4 linked regions of the Coturnix japonica genome follow. The main gene of each other region encodes a partner of the protein of the gene in region 4 in a complex. Links are inferred from orthologs where the notes say so. Each region holds a gene or a part of one and is shown on either strand. Other genes may lie near its edges. The genes, in order: POLR2K, TBP, TAF1B and TAF1C.

Region 1 (5,882 bases), on a different chromosome or scaffold from region 4:
ATAAAACTGACTTTATCTGAAGTCTCTAGTCTTAGAGCTCCCAGATCTAATGCCATCGATACCTTAGTTCAATCCTTTTTGTCAAATGGGGTTAACTTACCCTATTTGTGAGGCAATTGAAGATCCTCCACAGCAAATATACTGAATTCAAAGCACTATTTAATCCCTTACCGACAGCCTAAAGTGAGACAGGGCACGAGTAGAAAAGAGAGGTACAAAAGAAACGTTAATAAGAAGTGGGACGACAGCTGAGAAAGCTTCCCCTCTGTCTATACATGCTTTCACTGCCACATCCACCTACCAGCAATGAGGATAACTGATGCTACCTAGGGAGCAGTGTCGGGGTGAGGGGGCTCTCTCAGTCACCTGGACTGCTGGACACGAACACACAGCTTCACCTCCTTATCTAGCACACTGCTGGGCTGAAGAAACCGACCATAGAGGCCCCCACCACCGAGAACAGCCTGAGGAGGTCGGCGGGGCTGCCAAAGGAGATGAAAGGCGAGGCTGCCCTCCCTCCCGGCCAGCTGGCTGGGAAAGGCGGGGATCCTGCCGCCTCCACAGCTCGCCGCCCAGCTTCAGGGCCCGTTGCCCTTAGTGAGAAGCCGCTTCGCTTCTCTCCACCCACACCGGCTTCTCACGTGCGGCTGCAGCCGCTTTCCCTCGCTTGGGTTTGAACTGCCCGCCTTTACCAACCGCTCCGTTCTGCCACCCCAGTAGCGCAGCCCTAAGGCGAGAGCAGGGCGGGGGACGGCCTGAGGAGCGCTGCCTCCAAGGATGCGGACGGCACCATCTGGGCTCCGTGCTCTCATCGTACTTTATACTCCAGCTCGGCGGCTCCCGCCGCTCCCAGCCCTCCATAAAGCGCCCCGGTGCGGCCCCTCTGCCCGTCCCGTTCTGTCTCTCTCAGGAGCCGGGCTGAGGCGTTCCCGCTGCTCACAGCTTCTCAGAGTCGGGCGGGAGGCACCTTCAGCGGGTAGCCCGAGCCCTCACAGGTGGAACGTTGTCTGCACCAAGAGCTTAAAATCTGAGATGTAAGGGTGCTGATTAATTCATTTTAATTAGCTTATTTGTACCCGACAGCTCAGGAGCTAGATAATCATACAGAACTTCTGTTTTTTCTTTCATGGTTTACGCTTACGGCTCCACCAGAAACACTGTGAGATAAAACATGCTTTAAATCGTTGGGAGTAACTCCGAATGTAACGCCTCCACCCAGGGCAGAAAGATGGAGGTTCTCCGTGGTAACTAAGGCTGAGCAGGGCGGGCTCCATCCCCCCCAGAGCGGGGAAACGGGGCGTCTCGGTGTACGGGTAGTGCGACCGGAGGGTAACTGTAACGGGTAAAAACATTAGGGTTTTTGCGCTGGTTCCTCGTTCCATTTTAGAATGCGAATTAAAGAGTTTAGAAATGGAATCCAGGGTTTCCCAAAGTGCTTTCTGTAGCAGTTTCACGCCAGTCGGAAGAATTTCTCTTCAGGACCGGCGTTTATCAGCCCGTCGGAACGGGGCTATACCCCGAGGGAGGCGGCGTGAGGCACAGAAGTAATGGACGTTTAAAAAGACTCCATCCCACCGGGGAGCAGTTAAATGATGGATATAATCAAGATAATGAATGATTTTCTCGGGACAATCGATATATATTTTTTTCTCATGGGGTATAATTAGTAAGTAGGTTTTAAAGCATCACCTCGATGCTTTAATCATTTCGTCAAACCCGTTTTAAAATACAAAACGAGTGCGGGGAAAGATTATCGGCTTTACTTTAATTTCAGTGATTAGTTACTTGTGAGGTGTTAATTACTTTGTGTCCATCACCGGAGGAAGGGATCGTTCCGTTTTGGTTGGTTGATTTTTGCTCCCGGCAGCAGCTCCCACCTCGGAGGACCCGGGGCAGCGAACATCACTGCCGTGCACGTCCCGTTATTCTTACATGTGTTTTATTCCGGCACTAAGAAGTTACACTTAACTTTATTTTCGCACAGCAGCAAGACAAAGCCGATGAGCCGCCTAGAAATCCTTAGCACGTTGTTATTACTTCTAGCTTTCCCCAGGAGACGGTTGTTATTCGGCGTTCGGAAAGACGCATTTCCTCACATCAGGGAGATGTTATCTACAGAGCAGTATTTGTTATACGTTCTTACGTACCTGAGGACGTGCCATTACTCACACAGGGACGCCTAAGGGGCACCCAGCACTCGCCCAGCTGTAGGGCTGAGCCGGTGACTGACAGCACCGCGGCTTGCCAGTTTGTTTCAATGCGGGAATACATGGCACAGACCGCAGGGTACCGAGATTTAGTTACCAGCGCCAGGCTCAGCTCACTAGCGCTTCCAACTCTCACTCCCCCAAGGCTCCATCAGCCGCTATCCGCTGTAAACCCGACACAGCGCCTTAAGGACGGCGATGCAGACCCGCCCCCTCCGGCTTTGCGTAGTGACGCCATCATTCGGCGCCGAGGGGACGGCGAGGAGTGTGGAGGTTGGTGCCGCTTTCGGCTTATCCCTGCCGGGTTGGTGGTGGTGGTAGATTCGGGGTGAGGGGGGAGTGGGGAAAGGGTCGACCAAGCCCCTGGGGGTCAGTGGGGAGGAGGCGTGGCTGGCGCTGAACCGAGGCGGGCTGGGGGGGGATCATTGAATCATAGGCTCATAGAATGAGCTGGGTTGGAAGGGACCTCAAGGATCATGTAGTTCCAACCCCCCTGCCTGGCAGGGCCACCAAACATACACATTTACTAGATCAGGTTGCCCAGGGCCCCGTCCAACCTGGCCTTGAACACCTCCAAGGATGGGGCATCCACAACCTCCATGGGCAGCCTGTTCTAGGACCTCACTGGTCTCCTAGTGAAGATCTTCCCCCTAATATCCAACCTAAGTCTACCCTCTTTCAGCTTAAATCCATTTCCCCTTGTCCTGGTATTATCAAGAAGGGGAGAAAAAATGCTTTCTTTCTCTGTATGGTCACAACCTTAAAACGTAGGTCTGCAGTAATACCTACATGTTAGGTGGGGGTTGCTAAAAAATGAATTGTTTGTGGAGTAGTTGTCTGATATTGTGAAGGAATGTTGGTGAACCTGAAGGCAAAAGGTTAGCGTGCCAGGACAAACAGAAGTCCTTTCCAATGTGTATCATCTTATGTAGCATATATTAAACAGAGCTTGAATATTTTTGTATTTATTTTAAAAGAACTTTTTCAATTTCTGTCAACTTTAGATGGAGATATTGAAATATTTGTGTAAGACAACAACAAAAAACATGTATTTTATTTGTTGTTTTTGCTTAGAACATGGATTCACAGAAGGACGTTCAGCCCCCAAAGCAGCAGCCAATGATTTACATTTGTGGAGGTAAAGAAAAGACATTAGTGGTATTCAATGCTCTAATAATGAGGAATGTGCAGTCATAGTGCCACAGAGTACAGAAATCTACATAACTGGGTTGTGGATCCTGATGATGCATTAAGCTTTATGCACTGATGCTCCCATATGCATGGATTACTTGTGGTTATTGATGTGGAAGTCGTTCACTAGAACCTCTGTTGCTGTGTGGGGGTCCTGCATCTCTAGAGGATGATAGCAGAACTTTTATATATTGCATCTTGGAGACAAAGTTTTTTTGGAAATAGTGTTGTCATTCAACTTTCACTAATGCACAGTTGTCAGATTTTCTCTACCTAAACATAAGTTAATAAAGTGAAAATTGGAGCTTTTGAGTAACCACTTTAAAAGCCTCAGAAAAATTTAGGCTTAAGAAAATAAACTTGGTGGCTCGGAGGGGCTGAGAGGAAGGTTTCATTAGTGGAGTGTGGAATGGTACAGTAATGTTTGGATACTTTTTAGCAATCTAAGTTTGCCAATTCTTTTTTTTTTTTTTTTCCTTAACAGTATCTTAATATAATTCAGTTACTTATTAAAATTCACTGCAATTATTTTCTGTTATGCTTTGTTTGCTAGTAAAAGGAATTAGACCATTGTTACATCTGAAAGCTATCTGTGCTTTAGATATGCTGCTTTTGTTCACTCATTGCTATTCTCCTTCTCCATCATATCAGAATGTCATACAGAAAATGAAATAAAGGCAAGAGATCCGATCAGATGCCGAGAGTGTGGGTACAGAATAATGTACAAGAAAAGAACAAAAAGATGTATCCTTTTACAAAGGCAGTCGAATGCATTTGGGAAGCTGTGGGGCAAGCTGTGTAAGAAAATTGACTTCAGATTTATGCATTCCCTCTTTTTGTTCTCCTTGACCCCTTTCCTCCCCTGATCTTTCCTTGAACTGCAACGCATTTTTCTTTAACTGCACAATTCCAGTGGTGGTTTTTGATGCCCGGTGATTTGACCTGAAGATACATCAATTTTATACTTCAGTTTAATATTTCTGGCAACTTTGCTCTGTAAATCCATTGGTGTATAAATGCATAGTTTAGTGGTTTAAGATATTAAAATATTAAACTTCACTGTGATACTACTTGCCATACCATCTCAATTCTGTCTATACTACTTTTAGAAATGGGTTTCTTCCTTAAACTTTAGTCAGAATGTGCAGCATTCTGTTAAATTCATTGGTATTATATTCATTTTTGAGTTAAGTGTTAACCTTGTTTTCACAGCTCACACCTAAGCCTTACCTGTGTTTCAGCTCTTCAGTGTTTTTTGGACTCCTGTGAACTGCATAAGATAATCTTGGTTTGAATAAATCCCAGTGAAGACATATTGAAAGTCACGCAAAATCAGGTCTGAAATTTGGATTTGAACTCGACAGGACCCAAATCAGGATAAAAATAAATGTGTAAATAGAGATTCTCAGGCTGTTTTGTGACCTTGCTTGTACTCACTAAAATAAGTAGGTCTACAGTATAAAGAAACCTTGGATAAGGTAAAACTGAAATAACGTCATTTTGCTTTTCGGATGATTTCTCATGAGTCTGTATTAAGAAGTGGTTGCCGTTTTGTACTGATAAGCCCAAACTTTTTGCATCCATTTTCCTGTTCAGAACATTTATATTCAGAATATTTAATACTAAAATACCCATAGCGCCAATTTGTCTTAAAAAACACTGCTGCTTTGTGTGTGGTGCTAATTTAGCCTGATTAAATGCTTGCAAATCCAAATTTTGTTTCCAGTGCTGATGAGGCTGTTGAAAGACAAACATGTCATTTCACTGTTATCTGTACAGTATGATACCACTATTAGGGGGTGTGCTGGCTGCTGCAGAAAGCAACAGGGATGGGTTTTAGTGGGCCCAAGGTTGTGGGCAGTGGTGAGGCTCAGGGCACTTGGAAGAGCGTCGGACTGGATTTAGACTGGATGAAATACTACACTGAAAGCTGATGTTTTATGGAAGCTCAAACTCAACGGCTGTATTTCTGAAGGGAATACCCTCTCTGAAGTCAAATCATTTTTAAGAACCATTTTATGGAAATTATATTTAATAAAATATAAATTAAAGCAGTGTTATATGTTCCTAATAGTCAGAACGTTGGAGAGCTGCAGCTCGAGCGACCCCGCGCTGACAGGGCCGGCCGAGCCCCTCAGCTATTCACTCACTACGCGGCGCTCCTTCGCCATCGCTCCGCTGTGCATGCGCGGGCAAGGCGGGCGTCCACGGCGGAGGTGAAGGCTGTTAGGAGCGCGGTAGGTGGGTGTCAGGGCCGTCGTGTAACTCCGTGTCCTCCACAGAGCCGGCGGGGCTCTGCGGCTCCTCGCAAGGGGTTGGCTGTGTGGTTTCTTGCGGCTTCTCCGTCTATTACCTCCCCACAGCGCCGCCGGCCGCCATGTTGTACATAGCAACGGCTGCTATGTTGCCATTGCTGCCTCTCGGTAGATCTCCGTGAAGAAGAAATCGTGGCATCAGGTCATCAGGCAGTAGTTCTGCTGCAAT
Region 2 (4,894 bases), on a different chromosome or scaffold from region 4:
TGAGAACTGCAGTGCAGAAAACAAGTATGCTGAGGAGTTCATATGGAAACAAGACTTCTCTGTAGACTCTACTGAACTTCCATTAAGTTCCTAAGTTGAATCATCTATATATTACACTTAGCTCATTTTTCAGTGCATCTGCAGGAAACTGAACTAACATCATTGATCCCAGTCTAACACTTGTCTTGGTATGGGATAGGAGATCCCTAAGCAACCTCTGTTATGCTCTAGAGGAGCAACTTGACGTCGGTAATAAAGCCAGATGCAGTTCTTCATGGAATTTCACTTCAGATCTCAACTCTGAATGTTTACTTAAATAAATAAAGATTAAATGGTTTTGGACTGGTGTGAAAGTATCCTTTTGGCAACTGAATTTGTGAATCATAGAAGACTGCCTGAGAGAACTGTGCTTTATAAGAATGGGCAGTAATACACAGAGGAAAGCTCTAAGCTCACTTGCATGCCGATGCTCAGCAGGTTACAGCAGTCATAGCTATGATTAAGCTGTATAACGGTTAAATTGCCTTTAAACAGGCAACTTAATTATGCTTTTCTCTTCCAAATGCTGCGCTGGATCTTGGCAGTTGTTAGGTGTAGTGATTAATGGCAATTGGGTATAAAATGAACAAGTAATTGTTCTATTTGACTTAAGATAGTTACTACAGTGCAGAATTTACTTCAGTTACTTATTCTCTTATCCTGCTCGAGCCCTCCATGCCTGTTTACCAGTGATTCTTCCACGAGTGATTTTAGTTTAGAGGCTGTGAATCCTCAACTGAGCAGGCAGAGAGCACCGTAAGTGTAAAGCTGTTTACTCATCACCACACTTCTAGAAGGGTCGTTTCCTGGAATAGCACAAACCATCCTGTCACTACAGCACAGCTTGGCTGATTGGAATGAAAACTATATGATATAGTGTGTAAAGTCTTCCTGCCATAGTTAACAGTTCTGCAGATGCTACAGCAGCACAGATGGCGATACAGATGAACACTGGACCAGCTTACCCACATACTGCATCACTGCTGTGTGCTGTATCTTGTTTAATTATGTAGCCCTGCCCAGGTAAGTACATCAACTTCCTGCTAAGATCATTTAAACCAGTTATTGAAAGACCTGCTAATAGCGGTGCATAGCGTGCACCACTACAGCAATAATCAAAGATTAAGAATTAATAAGTTCACTCAGGATTTGCATATGGTGCGGTAGCAAAGCCAGCCATAACTACTTATCTGGAATGAAACATCATTTTAATTAAGAGACCATGGTTACATTTGGGTTAGTTTTAGATAAAAGCTGTTTGAAAGAATGTGCAAGTCATAAAAAGGCTATTACTGGAAATGTACTGGAGAAAAAAAAGTTTATTCTTAGTTCTCAGCCCATTAAGCTTCAAGCACACTTCAAAGGGGAGATTATGTACACACTGACTCCAGTTGGAAGGGCTTTGACATTTTATATGAACACTAATATAGTGAGACTGTCATAGTTGGTAAAATACAAAAGTGATTTATAAGAAATCTTAGAAGCTAACCAAGAATCCTTTGTTCCAATTCACTCAAGTGTGGCTGTGTAAGACTTGCATAAATCCCATCTGTTGAATGGGAGGCAACACATACTTGAACACAAACTCCTGTAGCCAGTCTTCTCTTTCCTGTTAGTGCACTGGAAGTAATCGGGCTGAATGTTGCCAAGGATATGACTACTGCTAAGCAAGCCAGAGCGTTGTTCAGATTTTCTCCAGATGACAGTAGTGTGTGTGCTAGTCAAAAATCCAGATTAAACTGAAAAGAACCTCTTCATATATTTCACTTTCCCAGCTGTGCAATTGTAAAACTCATTAAGACAGTTCCCATAATTGTATAAACAGGGTTTATTGTACATGTGGAGCTGAAGGAGAAAAGAGGAGGAATATATATATATTATATATATATATATTTATATATATGTACAGTGAGCTGTTTTCATTAATAAATTTATTCTGCCTTGCTTAATACTGGAAAGAGGGAATGTGTCTGGCACCGAAAGGAATTGAAAACTGAAGGAATTTAAAAGCTTAACTTTGGAAATTATAAAAACCATGGTCTTAATGGAAGGAAATTAAAACATATATACATGGCAACTCAAGTGGTTTATACACTGAGTGACACGGTTGCGTTCATCTTTTAAACCAATTTATGAATTTTCTATTAATAGAACTGGCATTAAAACTATTTAAAAGCTAGAATATAAATAAAACTCGGAGGGACTGCCCAAGGAGCAGCCCAACAAAGCAACTCACAGTAACTCAGTAGACATCATCATCGATAAAACAATTCCCCTTGAGTGTCAGGGAAATAGGCACTAACTGGGAAATAGTCCAAGTCTGGTGTTGCAGTTTCACTGAAGTCCATCTCTTGTTACTGCTGTGCCATACGCGATGCCTTTCTAAATGTACCCCCCAATTTCTCTGCAGTATGTAGAAACTGTTACGTTGTCTTCCGGAAACCCTTTAAAATAGGATAGATGTTTTCAAATGCTTCATAGATTTCTGCTCGAACTTTAGCACCTGCAAGAAGAGAGAAAATGACTTAATTCCCTCTCTCTCTTCAGAACCAAACAGTTCTCTATTTCTGCATGTAATTCTTCCTTTAAATAGACATTTCCTATAGAACACACATTATTAGAATAAACAGAAGGGTAATAAATGAAGGCCTGAGAGTTTGTTTCATTACCATCTTCATGCTTATGACATACTTGTAAATGAGATTTTCTAAGCATGTTTTCTCAGTACACTCAACTGCAAAGCGCAGCCCCATAGGATGTTTATGGAGAAAGGCCTCAACAGCAGTTTTATTCAACAGTGCAAATATCTGGGGAAACAAGGAAATGATGACTGAAGCAGAGGCCAGCAGAGGCCATAGTGCAGGTATATGTTCCTTCTTTCATCTGTGGATTCATTTATCAGTGAAGGGGGAAAAGGAAGAAAGAGTATAGGCAGAATCCCCAAGGTTAAGGAAGCCTCAGAGCATGGGTATCTCCCCTTCTTTGGCTGCTGCATCAAAGGGAAATGGCAGCAGCCTCCAACCAAGCTGTTACAACACACTGAGCTCAGTCACGCGCACCCAGTGAACAGAAGCAGACTTATGGATGTTGCTGGGAACGTTAGATAGGCTCTTTTTGGGCACCCGCCATTCTTCATCAGGATTCAAGATGGTTGCTTATATGGTTTAACCAAATACATGTGGTTTGCTCTGTGGGTTCTCATCCACAAAATACTGTGCTGTCTGTTCCTTTCCCAGTACTGTTGTTTCTGAAGAAGAGCAGCTAATAAATTGCATACTTGTGGGAGCACTGTTTCTAATGCAGTCTAAATCTAACCTACTGGAAGAAAATATTGACTTACCAGTTAAAACCACTTTTCCAGAAACAAAAATAAGCAGAACAATTCTTGGCTTGATCATTCTGTAGATTAAGCCAGGAAACAATTCTGGCTCATAGCTGTAAGAGAAGAGTCACAGTGTTTCAACGTGCCAACAGACAAATGTCCTTGCCCTTCATCTGCAGGGCTGCAGAAATGGACAGTGCAGATGTAAACCATTTGGGATGAGTAGCAAAGAATCGCTGCCCAATATCTACCCATGAAAATAACATCAGTTACTCCAGAGGCAGAGCTAGGATAGGAACAAAGATGCTGCATCCTCTCTGGTGTAAGGGAACAATCTAAACAGATGCCGCTCTAAGCTAGTCACAACACAGCAAGAATGAAAGGTAGGCAAACCTTCATTTACCTGCTGAACTGCTGGTGTGTGAGTACCAATCCTTCTAATCTGATAGGAAACTTCACATCACAGCTGCCCACCATGTTCTGAATCTTAAAATCCAAAAATTTCGCAGGAAAACCCAGTTTCTGAACAACTCTTGCGTACTTCCTTGCTGCCAGTCTGGACTGTTCTTCGCTGAAGGGAGAAAAAAAGAGCCAGCTTATTTCCCTTATTAAGCACTACTTCAAGCAAACAGCACCAAGCCACAAATATTTAACTGGGAAAGAAACATTGCGTGTGTTGCAGGAGAGTTGCAAAATGTTTACATCCAAAATGAACAACTACTACTGGTTTGCACACTCAGTTGTAGTACCAAGGTCCCGAACACTTTAACACTGCATTCACTGTTTATGAAGCAGAAAACTCTACTCTGTCCCCTACAAGGACAGGCTGAGAGAGCTGGGGTTCTTAAGCCTGGAGAAGACTCCAAGGAGACCTCATTGCAGCCTTTCAGTACCTGAAGGGAGCCTACAGGAAAACTGGAAAGGGACTTTTTATATGGGTGTGTAGTGACAGGATGAGGAGAAATGGCTTTGAACTGGAAGAGTATAGATTTAGACTGGATATTAGGAAGAAATTATTTACTGTGAGGGTGGTGAAACACTGGAACAGGTTGCCCAGAGAGGCTGTGGATGCTCTCTGGATGCTTTGAGCAACCTGATCTAGAGGGAGGTGTCCCTGCCCATAGCAAGGGAATTGGAACTGGATGATCTTAAAGGTCCCTTCCAACCCAAATTATTTCATGATTCCACGATCTCTGCTCATTAGGTTATTCCTTCTGGATTCCCAAAGGACTTCACAGCAGAATTTCTCTCCTGCCAGTTTTCAAGTCTGATGCCTCAGTGATCCCATTAAGAACAGATCAGACTACAGGTACCAGAGACTTGGAGCTCCTGACCCACAGTAAATGAAACAAACACCAAATTGTGCTTATCCTGCCACTGCCCCTATAGTTTAAACAGTTACAGTGCATAGCCATTTTATATGGGTATACATATACAACATGTATATAAACACCGTATAAAAGAAACTATATTTCTAAAGCATTGTGATTTCAAAAGAAAAGATGGCCTTAATTAGTTTGCTCCTACCAGCTG
Region 3 (5,695 bases), on a different chromosome or scaffold from region 4:
CTTTCCAGCTACATATCAACAAGTCCTTCCAATTCATTCTGCACAAATACACCTAAGTTGTATACAAAAATGGTTTCCAGATACTTCACTTCATTGCTCCTACCTGAGACCTTGCCAGCTGATGAGGCATAGTTGCAATCTGTCTGTAGATCCCCATCACTTTCAGAGACAGATAAAAAATGAAGCAGGCTGGGTCGCTCTGGTTCACTGTCCCTATCTGTACTGCTTTCACATCCCTGGTTTTTGTAAATAAGACATAGTATTATCTACTGTTAGTTGCTGTTTTAATCTGAATAAACTAAATAAGGCACAACAGATACAAGATTTAGTACATGAAGTTGAAATGCAAGCTGTTCACATATTTACTTGCTCTATGAATCACCGGTATGTAAAGAAACCTTGAAAAAAAAATTTCTTTGTGATTCTGTTACATCCCAATCTGCTACAATGACCAGAAAGGAGGCGATTTATAGGAGCAAAGCATAATGAAATAAGTAACTTCAGAAGCCTGGACATGTCGTATTCCATTTAGAAGACATTCTCGCTGGAGCAAGATTAATGAAAGTTAGGTATGCAGCTCAAAGAAAGATTTTTGTTGTTACTCTTTAAAAAAGATAACCAATATCTCATAGGATCTGAGCTTTTCACTTACTGATAATGCCTTGATAGTTTCACCAGATGGTTTGTTGCAATATGCCTGTTGGTTCTTCTGAAGGTAACGCCTCCAAAAATTGCACAGAATTTCATCCTGGTAAACACAAATGGACAATTAGTGCATGGTTTAGAAAACCATTAATTTATGTGAAAACAGAACAGAATTGCTAAGCCAGGGACCTAAATAATATTCCAGCTCTCATTTCATTACCTCCAGTTTTTATTTCATGTTTTGTAACTACAAAGAAAATTAAGTTTGTTTACATGCACTCGATATTTTTTTTAAAAAGAGAGGGATTTGATTTACCCCCAAAATTACAGTATCTTTAAGTAACAGCCCTGCTGCACAAGCACAGTGTGCACAACTCACAGCTTGTAGGATTCACACTGATCTCTACATACCTTCATTTGTGGACATACTCCCAATGCTTCCAAAGCTTCAGCTTGTTGCTTTAGTACCAGCTGAAAGCCTTCACAAACATACCATTCCGAGCCTTTATCTATTAAAAAGAAAGTGTTTTTTAAACCTTAAGCAAGGTATTTCCACTTAATATTGTTATCTTGTACCAGGGCAGAGATACATCTTTATTAAATAACTTCAGATATGAGATCAAAGACCATTACACTGAATATTCCATTAACTTCCACTTACTCACAGGCTTAAGAAAGAAGAAATATTACTGAACAAGCGCTGTTCTAACCATATTTCCAAATGCTAATATATTTCACTATCATTTCTAACATGACATTTGTAACTGAGTAGAGAGTTGCCTAGTGACCAGTTGTTAAGTAGAACCTATTGTTGAAAGAACAAAATGTCCTTTCTTCCCCATATTCAGCATGAAAAACTGGAACACGTTACATTGCAGTACTTCATCAGGTGCAAATTAAAATATATATAAATAAATCAGTGTTCTTCACCACTGTCTCTCATGGAATCATACAGGTTTAACTGAAAGTTTTTCAGATGTTCAGAGTTCTTACTGTATTTCAGCATATGATGAATCTCCTAAGGCCTGCTCCAATCTATTCACTATTTCCTCAGACAGCATTACATTTACTTTCCACAATACCTCTCCACATTTACAAGTTTTTTCCACATACTCTTGGTCTTAAGAAAAAGTCTCTGTAGCTCCCAAATCTCTTTACATTCACTCCACAGCTGTTACTCGTTATTTTCCCCTTCAATCACACCTTGCATCTCATCATCTTAGAAGTTATCTGCCCCAAGTTACTCCCCTGCATTAAGGATGCTGGCTTTACCTGCTAACCGCAGATACAGCTTAACCCTTCACATGTATGAAAATAAACTGACATAGTCTTGTGCAACTGCAATTGCAGAAGGGACTGCATGAAGCTAAGAAGCCTAATGCACAACATCCACCAACTTCATGGAGGCCACCTGTGCCTCTGGAACTCACTGAGGCTGCAGAAGCTCTGACAGTATCTGGGGATGCATTACTTTCCTTTTCATGGTCCTTACTAGCTATCTCCTTTCAGCCACCATTGAATGCAACGTGCTCAGTAAACCAGTGCATCCACTTTTATGCACAATACAGAGCTTTGTGTACAACGTACCAGTTTTTTTCTGACTTCTAGAGCCTTTGGAGATTGTCTGGACTCTTGCATTAAGAAAAGTTTCAGCGCTTACAACTTCTCGAGTTCTCTGCAAAACAGTAACACATCTTAGCAAGGAAAACACCAGACTGAAAGCAGTCTGAAGGCCAACAAGCTCCGCTTTTTTACCTCAATAACATTGTGGCAAGTTCTGCAATAATATCTGCCTCCATCTGTGAGACCCCAGTTCACATCTGAACACTGCGCACAGCACTCATCAAAATCCCCCTGAAAGGAAGAAAAACAAATAGTTTCACATAGCAGATAACCCCATTCATAGAATCACAGAATCACAGAATGACCCGGGTTGGAAGGGACCTCAAGGATCATGTAGTTCCAACCCCCCTGCCTGGCAGGGCCACCAAACATACACCTTTACTAGATCAGGTTGCCCAGGGCCCCGTCCAACCTGGTCTTCAACACCTCCAAGGACGGGGCATCCACAACCTCCCTGGGCAGCCTGTTCCAGGGCCTAACCACTCTCCTAGTGAAGAACCTCCCCCTAACATCCAACCTAAATCTTCCCTCTTTTAACTTAAAACCATTTCCCCGTGGAAACTAAGTCAGTGCCTCAGTAAATCACACACAGGGCACAGGACGTGATGGAGAAAACAAAGAGAAAACACCCATCGGAAATAGGAAGGGGAATAGAGCCCTGGAGATGGAATTGAGAACGACTCAGAAACACGTGGGGGTTGCCTGCACAACGCATGGAGGGTCGTGCCCGGAGAAACCCAAGAGGGGAGAACAGGGAACCCCACAGAAGCAGCATGAAGAGGATCCCTCCTACAGCCCCGCGCTCAGCCCGGGCCTCAACCCCGACACCGGGCCGGGAGCGCAGCCAGGGCCTCCCCCGCCCCAGCACCGGAGCCCCGAGCGCCGCCCGCAGCCACCGCCCGCCCCGCGTGTCAGCGCCGCCCACAGGGCCCCGTTCCAGCCCGGAGAAACCGGCCGCTCCCGGAGCCGCCCGCCCCGCACCGCGTCCTCCTCGTCCATTCCGCCGGGTGCCGGGCAGCCGCTCCGGGGATCCCACCACGGCAACCGCGCCGAGCGCCAGCGCTGTCGGCCGGCTCGGAAACGGCAACCCCGGCGCTTGCGTTCCGGCCCTGCCCTGCGGCCTCGGGCGGCCTCTGTGACCGCGTCCTTCCCTCAGTGCCACATCTCCACATTCCCTGAGCACCCCAAGGGTCGGTGACTCCACCACCTCCCTGTGCCAACACTCTGTCTGACATGAAGTATCTCCTAATATCCAACCTCACTTCTGAGGAAACATGGGGAACTTCACAATTGGAACGTGGATGTTTCATTTTTAAAGAGGATAGCAGTGCTTTTCCAACCCTGGTGATTCAATAAATGCATAAAGCACTTCAGGATCCTTGGATGAGGGAAATGAGGATCTGAAATTTGCTTTCAGTAAAAAAAACAAAACAAAAAACACCAACAATAAAACCACCAAACCTCCAGATCTTGATATAGGTCTCTAATTTCTGCTACGCTAATGGTGATGTCTGAACACTAAGCTCTGTTATTGCAATGAATTTGCCCACAGAATTGGAGAACAGGTTTAGGTTTAGGCCCCTAAAAACAACAGCAACAACAAAACAAACAAAAAAACCCCAAAAAACCACTGAGTGAAAGCATGGGAAAAAATTAAAGCTAAAATATACATGGAAAGAGGTGAGGCTCCCTTGACAGCTGTGGTTACATTGATGTTGGAGGATATGTACAGAGCTAGAGGGAAACTGTTTATGTTCATGAAAAATAGAAGTTATTACTCATACCAACTGTGATCTTTTTTCGGTGTGGGATGAACATTTGTAACACCCATTACAGAGAATTATGCATATAATTCCTGCCATTAAAAAGGTGATCATCAGCCTTGCAGAAATACAGCTAATACCCTGATGAAACAGATCCTACTTCTTATATTGATTTCCATATATATTTTTGTTGTTTGTGAAAATACAGTTCTGGGAAAGCAAGGCCTTTTCGTGTGATGGAGTTTGATCTTTTTCTAATGGGTTTCTATGATGAAATCCCATCTTGAAAAATAATCAGAAGTGCTCTGTATATGGTAAACCAGGAAGAGCTGTGTCCCAGTTAGAAGACGCAGCCTTTCTCCTGCTGGGAGCTGGATTTGGAGTCACCCTGTGAGCAGGCCGCTCCGTGGATCTAATTCAACTGAAGAACTGGCTTAAATTAAGCATGGAATGACTGCTTGGATGAGGCAGGGCCTCAGTGGACTTCTGCTTGCTAATCACACCTGGGCAAAGCAAAGGAAGCACAGTGACAGAACTCTGCAGGCGCTGGTTCTGTGCTTGTGGACAATTTGCTCAGCTTTTCTGAGCCATGTTTTCCATGCAGGTGAGGTAAAGCTATGAAAAGCGACCAAACTTCAGACAAAAAAGTTGTACAAAGAGTAGTGTTGGTAGTTCTAGTTACATATTCAGGCTTTTTATGAGTGCAAAGCTTCCATGAATGTTTCCTAAGACCATCAACTAACTAGTGCAGACTAGTAATCTGGTAGCAAAAATTCAGAGTGTAATAGGGGTAGCAAGTCTTATATCTATTTCTTAAATATTTTTTTTTTTTTGAGATGACATGCTCAAAACCGGTTTTTCAGCATATAAAATGATGTGTAACCTTTGTCCCTAATTACAAGTTACTCAAGCATACAGATAGGCATATGATAATTTCAAAGCCAGGAGACAGACTGTCTTCCTGCTTCAGCTCACTTTTCTAATTAAAATCATTATGCATAGTAGTCAGATTGATTCAAGGCTTAGATAAATAATACGTCCTGTTGTTTCCATTGAATTGAATTTTTAATGAACTGGGTTCCACTGCTGATACCACATTTCTGGCTCTTGAGCACAGACTTGCTGTATGTGAAGGCACAAAAACTACATCTTGAACCAAAAGACGTGTCCTTTGGCCTATCCTTCAGGATATTGCTTATGAAACTTCATTGGCTCCGGGATAAGAACTTCGGCATCACAGATTCTCCCAGGAGTCCCTTACAGACTTTACCCATTGTCAGACACCTACTACAAAGAGCTGGAGCAGAAACACAACCTCAGCTGCTCTAAAGATTGTAAAGATTAACGCTGGGCACATCTACCAGATTCCTGCTTATAGCAGATATACATTGCTATTAACACCCACAATTTGATTTTTGTACCTTCAAAAGAGGAAACAGATGGAAAATGTAGGGAAATTAGGAAAACAAGACAGAGGTGCTTTTATCTGAACCATATGGATTTAGTCTAACCAATCTCTAACAGCGATCATGATATAGGAAGGGTCAAGGGGAAAAGCTGTGCCAAGCATAAGTGCAGCAGAGATGAAGCTGTGGGGAGATAAGTTGTGCAAGAAATAAACATAGGAATGGACAAAGGTGGGAACACTGATGGAGCGTAGGGGT
Region 4 (5,570 bases):
CTCTACAAGCAGCCAACAAAGAGGATGCTAGCAGAAGAGCAAATGGGAGCAGGGTTGTGGCCAGGAGGATGTATACAGCAGGGAAGGGGACAGCTGAGAAGAAGGGCTGCTTTTTCCAGTGTCTGGCTGGGAGCATGCGCATGTGCTTGCATGCACGTGTGTTTGTACTGTGTGTGTGCAGCCCCAGCAGGCTGAACACTGACATGCATCTGCTCCCTTGCCTGGAACAAAGGCAGCTCCCCCTCCCTTCGTTGCCAGCCAACACGAAATGGGCATGAAATTCCCATCTGCGTGCAAGTGCACTCAATCACAGTTTCCCTTCCATGAACCACCTGACCAGCCCACAGTTCCCCAGGGGACCGAAGCTCCCTGCCAGCTGGGGTCAGTGAACTGGCAGTGGACCTCAAAGAGAAAGAGATGGTGAACGTGCTCCCAGGACATGGCATGGGGAAAGCACGCAGAGCTTCCTGACCCCATTACACTTCCTGGAGCCCACTCATCTGAGGTAAAGTGAGGGCACACAGGTGCACAGGGAGAGTCAGGCTGGAGCCCTGCGGCAGTGAGGCCACAGCACAGGCAGAAAAGCAGGAAGATGGAACAGAATTTCCTATCTATGAAAGAGAGAAAGGAGAAAAGCAAGAGCGCCTCTGCCCCAGGCCAGAGGCCGAAGAGAGGCGACCTCCTCTCCCAGAAGGGTCAGTACCACGGACAGCTCACCTGATGTCGGGCTCAGGACCACGGACAGCTCCCCCAGCCGCCCCATAGGGCCCCATAGCGCTTCTACTCCACAGCTCGGCCCCCTTCCTCCGTGATCCCCCATACACAACACCGCATACCCCTCCGCAGCCCCCAAATGAAGGCAGCTCCAGAGCCCGACAGCACACTCATTTCATCACGTATTCACTCCAGTGTCCCCCCACTCATCCTCACTGCACACACATCCCCCGCACTGCATGCATCCCTGCTGCCCCACTTCACAGCCCTCTGTCCAGGTGACACGCTGCAATTGCAGATCCCCGTAACCCCTGACCATGAGTCTGACCCCTCTCTCTGGGTGTCCCTGTGCACTTACACCACCTGTGTCCCTCCAGCACGCACACCTCTGAGCCCTCCCTATGTACCACATTGCACGCGTGCCCCACAGCCTGCTTATTGTCAAGCATAACCACCGAACACACATCTCCATGTCCCATTATGCCAACACCCCACTGCCATCTCCCATCACACATGAATATGCCCCATTGTGCTCACACGTCCTGCCCCACTGCCCACGCACCCTATACTCAGTTGCATGGTGTAATGTGGGGTACCCCACACATCAACGTGCCCTGCTGCACACTGACCCCACATCTCGCTGCACACACATCCCGCACCCCATCACACACACTGTCATCCCACGGCGGGCAGATGCTGCGGACGGTCTGCGCTCCATCCTCACCCCATTAATACAAGCACACACCTCCCCCCTTCCTCACCCCCATCCCCCACGCAGCGCTCAGCTCCCCGACCCCCTCGGCCCCTCGACACTCACCGGCGGGCGGCGGCGGCCATAGGAGGAGGAGGAGGAGGAGGGGCAGGAGCAGCAGGGGCAGGCGGAGGAGGGGTATCGGTGTGAGCGGCCGCCCCCGCCCGCCGCCCCGCCGCCCCATCCCACCGCGCCGGCTGCCGAGGGGCGCGCGGCTCCAGCAGCCCCGCCGCGCAGGGGCGACCATGACGTCATCCGTCCCGCCCCCTTTCTCCCTCCCCAATTTTCCTATTGGCGGTTCTGCTTGTCACTCACAACCGGCGCGGCCCCGCTTTCTGCTCGCCATGATACCTCCCACACGCTAGGGGGCGCTGTCGCACTCTAGGCCTCGCCCTTCCCGGTCATCCAACTTCCTACCGCGTCGGGACCGCGTGCGCAGCACTTCCGGTCCGGATCCGGTACCGGGCTCACCATTACCGCCCCCGGTACCGCCCATGGAGTTCCCGGGCGTGCTCTTCCCTTCTTACTTCGGATCCGGCCCCACCAGGGACGAGGGGCGTCCGGCTCCGGCCGCTGGATGGGGGGAGCGGGAAGAGGTGCTGCAGGCCGGGCCTGGACGGCGGCAGGTGAGGAGTAACGGGGGAACGGGATGGGGGAGGCCTGGGGGGCAATGAGTGAGGGGGCAGTGAGGGTATTGAGGGCACTGAGGGGGCTCTGAGGGCACTGAGGGGGCTCTGAGGGCACTGAGGGGGCTCTGAGGAGGCTCTGTGGGCACTGAGGGGGCTCTGTGGGCACTGAGGGGGCTCTGAGGGCACTGAGGGGGCTCTGAGGGTACTGAGGTGGCTCTGAGGGCACTGAGGGGGCTCTGTGGGCACTGAGGGGGCTCTGTGGGCACTGAGGGGGCTCTGTGGGCACTGAGGGGGCTCTGAGGGTACTGAGGGGGCTCTGAGGGTACTGAGGGGGCACTGACCCTCACCTCCATTCCCCGCTGTCCCTGCAGGTGCTGCCGCCGTTCGTGCCCCTCCGCAGCCACGAGGGGGAGAGCTGGACGCCGGCTGAGCCCGCGGCGGTGCCGCTGCTGCCGCCCAACGTGGGTGAGGATTGAGGGGGCACAGGGGGGGCTGAGAATGGGGCTGCCACCTGGTGCTGGGACGCACTCGGCAGCCCCCCCCCCCCCCCCCCCCCCCCCCCCCCCCCCCCCCCCCCCCCCCCCCCCCCCCCCCCCCCCCCCGCCGCCCCCTGCCCCCTCACAGGCTGCTCGGTCCCCAGTGTGACCGCTCAGGATATTCTCTACCACGGTGTCCTGCATAGAAAGCTGCAGACTGGGAAGTCTGGGGCTGCGCTGGACTTTGCCAAGCAGGTACAGGGCTTGGGTGCTGCTGAGGAGACAGGGCTGAGCTCCACCATGACATCACTGCACAGCCCCACACTGCTGTCCCCACGCAGCTAGGGCACTTCTTTGTGGATCATCCTGAGGACGCCTTCAGCTCCCTGGGGCAGCTGCTGCACAACAACTTCCACCTGGGAGACTACAGCCTCGGGGTCAGTGTCCTTGGTGATGCTGAGGGGGGCACTGGTGTACCCCCTCCTTTCTGTTCATAGTGGCACTTCTCTCCTCCCTGCAGAAAGGCAGTGCCAAGGACACAACCATCCGTATGACATCCATGGTGAAGAAGATCAACAATATGGAAGCCAGGCGGTGAGTGCTGCTGGGTTGGGAGGGCGGTGGGCTCCGACACCTACCTGGCACTGATTGTCCCCTCACAGTGGCTGCCCTCGGCATCCGTATGCCAACCACCTGCGCTTGTTCTCTCACCTGTGCCGGGACTGGCTCTTTGAGGTGCCACTGGGACTGCTGGCCGACTGCGTGCATGAAGAGCTGCTGCTACAGTGGACCAGACTGCTCTTCGATGACAGTTCCACAGGGGGAGCACTAGCCTGGCTGCCCCCTCAGGATGCAAGCAGTGACATGGGATGCCTGGTGTACCCTGGCGGGTTGGCCATGAACCACCTCTGTATCCTTTCCTATGATACTTGGGGGACTCTGGGACAGGGGAGCACTGTGTGGCAGTGCCCTTAGCCTGCACTCCAGATTTCCAGAATGTGGTGCTGGAGGAGCAGCCGCGGGCCCAGGGGTTGCCAGTGCAGTTTGAGCTCAACGGGCGCATCCGGCAAGTAGCTGCTGCCCGGGTGGATGGGCAGGGTGAGTAAGCCCTGGGACATGTGCACTGCATACAGAGATAGTGGCATCCCTGCTCTCTCATCTGCCCTCTCTCCTGTCTCCTACTAGACTTTGTTGGCGTTCGCTCTGACTATTACTGTGGTGTCTGGAGGATGTCAGGCAAGACAGGGGCTGCCCCCAGCTCACTGCAGGTCATCCACACTGATGTGCCAGCTTCCTGCCTCACCGTCAGGTGTGTGGTGGGAATACAGAGCTCTGGGAAGGTCCTCAGCTACAAGCCTTCCAATGTAACGCCATGTCTCTGCCCCACAGCCCACACCTGCCTGGGGAGCTGTCAGTCTGTACGCAGAGTGGAGCTGTCTATCTATGGAACATAGAGACAGGGTGAGTTGGGGCTCTGATCCCCAGTGTTTGGTGCTGCAGGAGGCAGGGGTGCCCCACAGCAAGGAAGAGCTCTGTCCTTTTCCCTACAGGCTGCAGCGGCTCCGCCATGACCCCCAGACCTTGTTTTTCCGGGACCACTCACCCTGGCGCTGGAGTGACTTCACTGCTCACCCGCGGGTGCTGAGCTGTGCTGACCGCACTGGCATCCTGTGCCTGGATACTCGGGTGAGCATGAGAACGGGGTTCAGGGTGGGCTGTGGGGTGACCTATGTCAGCCCCATGGTGCTGACAGCACCCTGTTATGCCACTGCAGGCCCCCACTAGATGCCACTTCAACTTCTTCAAGGTGGGTGAGGAAGCCAAGTGCCAGAAGGGTGAACGCGTGGTACTGCCCATGTACCTGGGTAGGGCTCACCCCTGCCAGTACCTCGTTGCCACCCAGGTGAGTCCTCCATGGCTCAGTGTCCCCAGACCTCCCCACCCACCTCGTGCATCTGGTTTGGATGCAGGTGGGGGGCACCCTGCTGAGTTTTGCCCCCTTTCAGTTTGCCGTGTACTTGCTGGACGAGCGTTTGCCGCTGGTGCCTGTGCTGAAATGGGCACACATGATGAAATTCCCCCCTCTGTTCGCTGATGTTGTGCCGGGAGAGTCTGGAAGGAGTCATAAAGTGCTGCTGGGCACCTCTCATACTCAGGAGCTGCTGTTGCTGCAGTACACAGGTGAGAAACCAGGTAGGGGAACGCAGATTCCCCTCATGTCCACATCCTGATCATGCTGCCTCACCAGCTCATTGTTGACATGTCTTACTGCAGGGGGCAGCCAGATGGCCTGCCAGCTCGCAGGGCCACCACAGCGGCTACACAGCATTGCCAGCTGCCTACCTCACCTCCCCATACAGCTCCCACACCAGCAGCACCTGCTCCAGCAGCGCCTCAGCATCCCTGCATCTGGTGAGTGGTCCTGGGCTGTGCAGGTCCTGCAGGGCTAGCAGCCAGCAGTCAGTGCTACATCAGCGTGCTTCAAAAGGCAAATGCTACTCAACGCCATGTGCAAGTTAAGATATTGATGGCTTGGGAGAGGATGTAGGGACAAACTGGGAAAGAGCAGTGAGTGCTGCATTCGTGGGGAGGTAGAGTAGGGTGTGTGGTGACGAAGCCCCATTTATCCCCATAGGGCTGGCTGCCATGCAGCATGGGCAAGGCCAGGAAGATTCCCTTCTAGTGTTCCAGCTCTCCGAGGCCGGTGATGTCTTCTATCAGACACTGAGGCACGAAGCAGCACCCACACCTGTTCCAGACCAGAGGGATGAATCTGAACCAGCTCCCACTCCCAACAAGGGAGATGAGGCAGCAGCATCCCCCGGCTCTCCCATTCTGTTTGGCAGTGAGGAAGAGAAACGGGAGGAGGAAGAAGAGCAGACCTTCTACTTATCCAATGTGGAGGTGATAATCAATGATGAAGAGGAAGAAGAGGAGGTCGTGGCCACACCAGCAGCCCCTGAGGAACCTGAGCCTCGTGCCAGCCCCAGGCCTGCCCCA

What was found.
Region 1: TAF1C (region 4) and POLR2K share a complex: the UniProt entries of both Homo sapiens proteins name them as parts of the pol I pre-initiation complex. The link is inferred for Coturnix japonica from reciprocal best matches to the Homo sapiens genes TAF1C and POLR2K.
Region 2: TAF1C (region 4) and TBP share a complex: the UniProt entries of both Homo sapiens proteins name them as parts of the transcription factor SL1/TIF-IB complex. The link is inferred for Coturnix japonica from reciprocal best matches to the Homo sapiens genes TAF1C and TBP.
Region 3: TAF1C (region 4) and TAF1B share a complex: the UniProt entries of both Homo sapiens proteins name them as parts of the transcription factor SL1/TIF-IB complex. The link is inferred for Coturnix japonica from reciprocal best matches to the Homo sapiens genes TAF1C and TAF1B.

The regions. Positions count from the first base shown.
Region 1 is NC_029517.1:116,285,654-116,291,535, forward strand, and holds POLR2K (DNA-directed RNA polymerases I, II, and III subunit RPABC4), read left to right. Parts: upstream 1-2,385; 5' UTR 2,386-2,405; coding exon 2,406-2,480; exon of another isoform or gene 2,481-2,511; intron 2,512-3,281; coding exon 3,282-3,345; intron 3,346-4,049; coding exon 4,050-4,142; intron 4,143-4,311; coding exon 4,312-4,334; 3' UTR 4,335-4,800; downstream 4,801-5,882. UniProt on the Homo sapiens protein: DNA-dependent RNA polymerase catalyzes the transcription of DNA into RNA using the four ribonucleoside triphosphates as substrates.
Region 2 is NC_029518.1:36,556,930-36,561,823, forward strand, and holds the end of TBP (TATA-box-binding protein), read right to left. Parts: intron 3,933-4,894; coding exon 3,765-3,932; intron 3,475-3,764; coding exon 3,380-3,474; intron 2,543-3,379; coding exon 2,463-2,542; 3' UTR 1,341-2,462; downstream 1-1,340. Other genes in the region: PDCD2 (programmed cell death protein 2), read left to right, coding at 1-94. UniProt on the Homo sapiens protein: The TFIID basal transcription factor complex plays a major role in the initiation of RNA polymerase II (Pol II)-dependent transcription.
Region 3 is NC_029518.1:87,961,672-87,967,366, reverse strand, and holds the start of TAF1B (TATA box-binding protein-associated factor RNA polymerase I subunit B), read right to left. Parts: upstream 3,431-5,695; 5' UTR 3,268-3,430; coding exon 3,250-3,267; intron 3,025-3,249; exon of another isoform or gene 2,817-3,024; coding exon of another isoform or gene 2,814-2,816; intron 2,500-2,813; coding exon 2,401-2,499; intron 2,321-2,400; coding exon 2,233-2,320; intron 1,155-2,232; coding exon 1,057-1,154; intron 749-1,056; coding exon 653-748; intron 237-652; coding exon 104-236; intron 1-103. UniProt on the Homo sapiens protein: Component of RNA polymerase I core factor complex that acts as a GTF2B/TFIIB-like factor and plays a key role in multiple steps during transcription initiation such as pre-initiation complex (PIC) assembly and postpolymerase recruitment events in polymerase I (Pol I) transcription.
Region 4 is NC_029547.1:8,326,703-8,332,272, forward strand, and holds the start of TAF1C (TATA box-binding protein-associated factor RNA polymerase I subunit C), read left to right. Parts: upstream 1-1,867; 5' UTR 1,868-1,959; coding exon 1,960-2,091; intron 2,092-2,465; coding exon 2,466-2,559; intron 2,560-2,718; coding exon 2,719-2,825; intron 2,826-2,911; coding exon 2,912-3,007; intron 3,008-3,090; coding exon 3,091-3,164; intron 3,165-3,232; coding exon 3,233-3,480; intron 3,481-3,557; coding exon 3,558-3,668; intron 3,669-3,755; coding exon 3,756-3,879; intron 3,880-3,959; coding exon 3,960-4,031; intron 4,032-4,120; coding exon 4,121-4,256; intron 4,257-4,344; coding exon 4,345-4,473; intron 4,474-4,576; coding exon 4,577-4,751; intron 4,752-4,844; coding exon 4,845-4,982; intron 4,983-5,205; coding exon 5,206-5,570. Other genes in the region: TMEM8B (transmembrane protein 8B), read right to left, coding at 1,532-1,712. UniProt on the Homo sapiens protein: Component of the transcription factor SL1/TIF-IB complex, which is involved in the assembly of the PIC (pre-initiation complex) during RNA polymerase I-dependent transcription.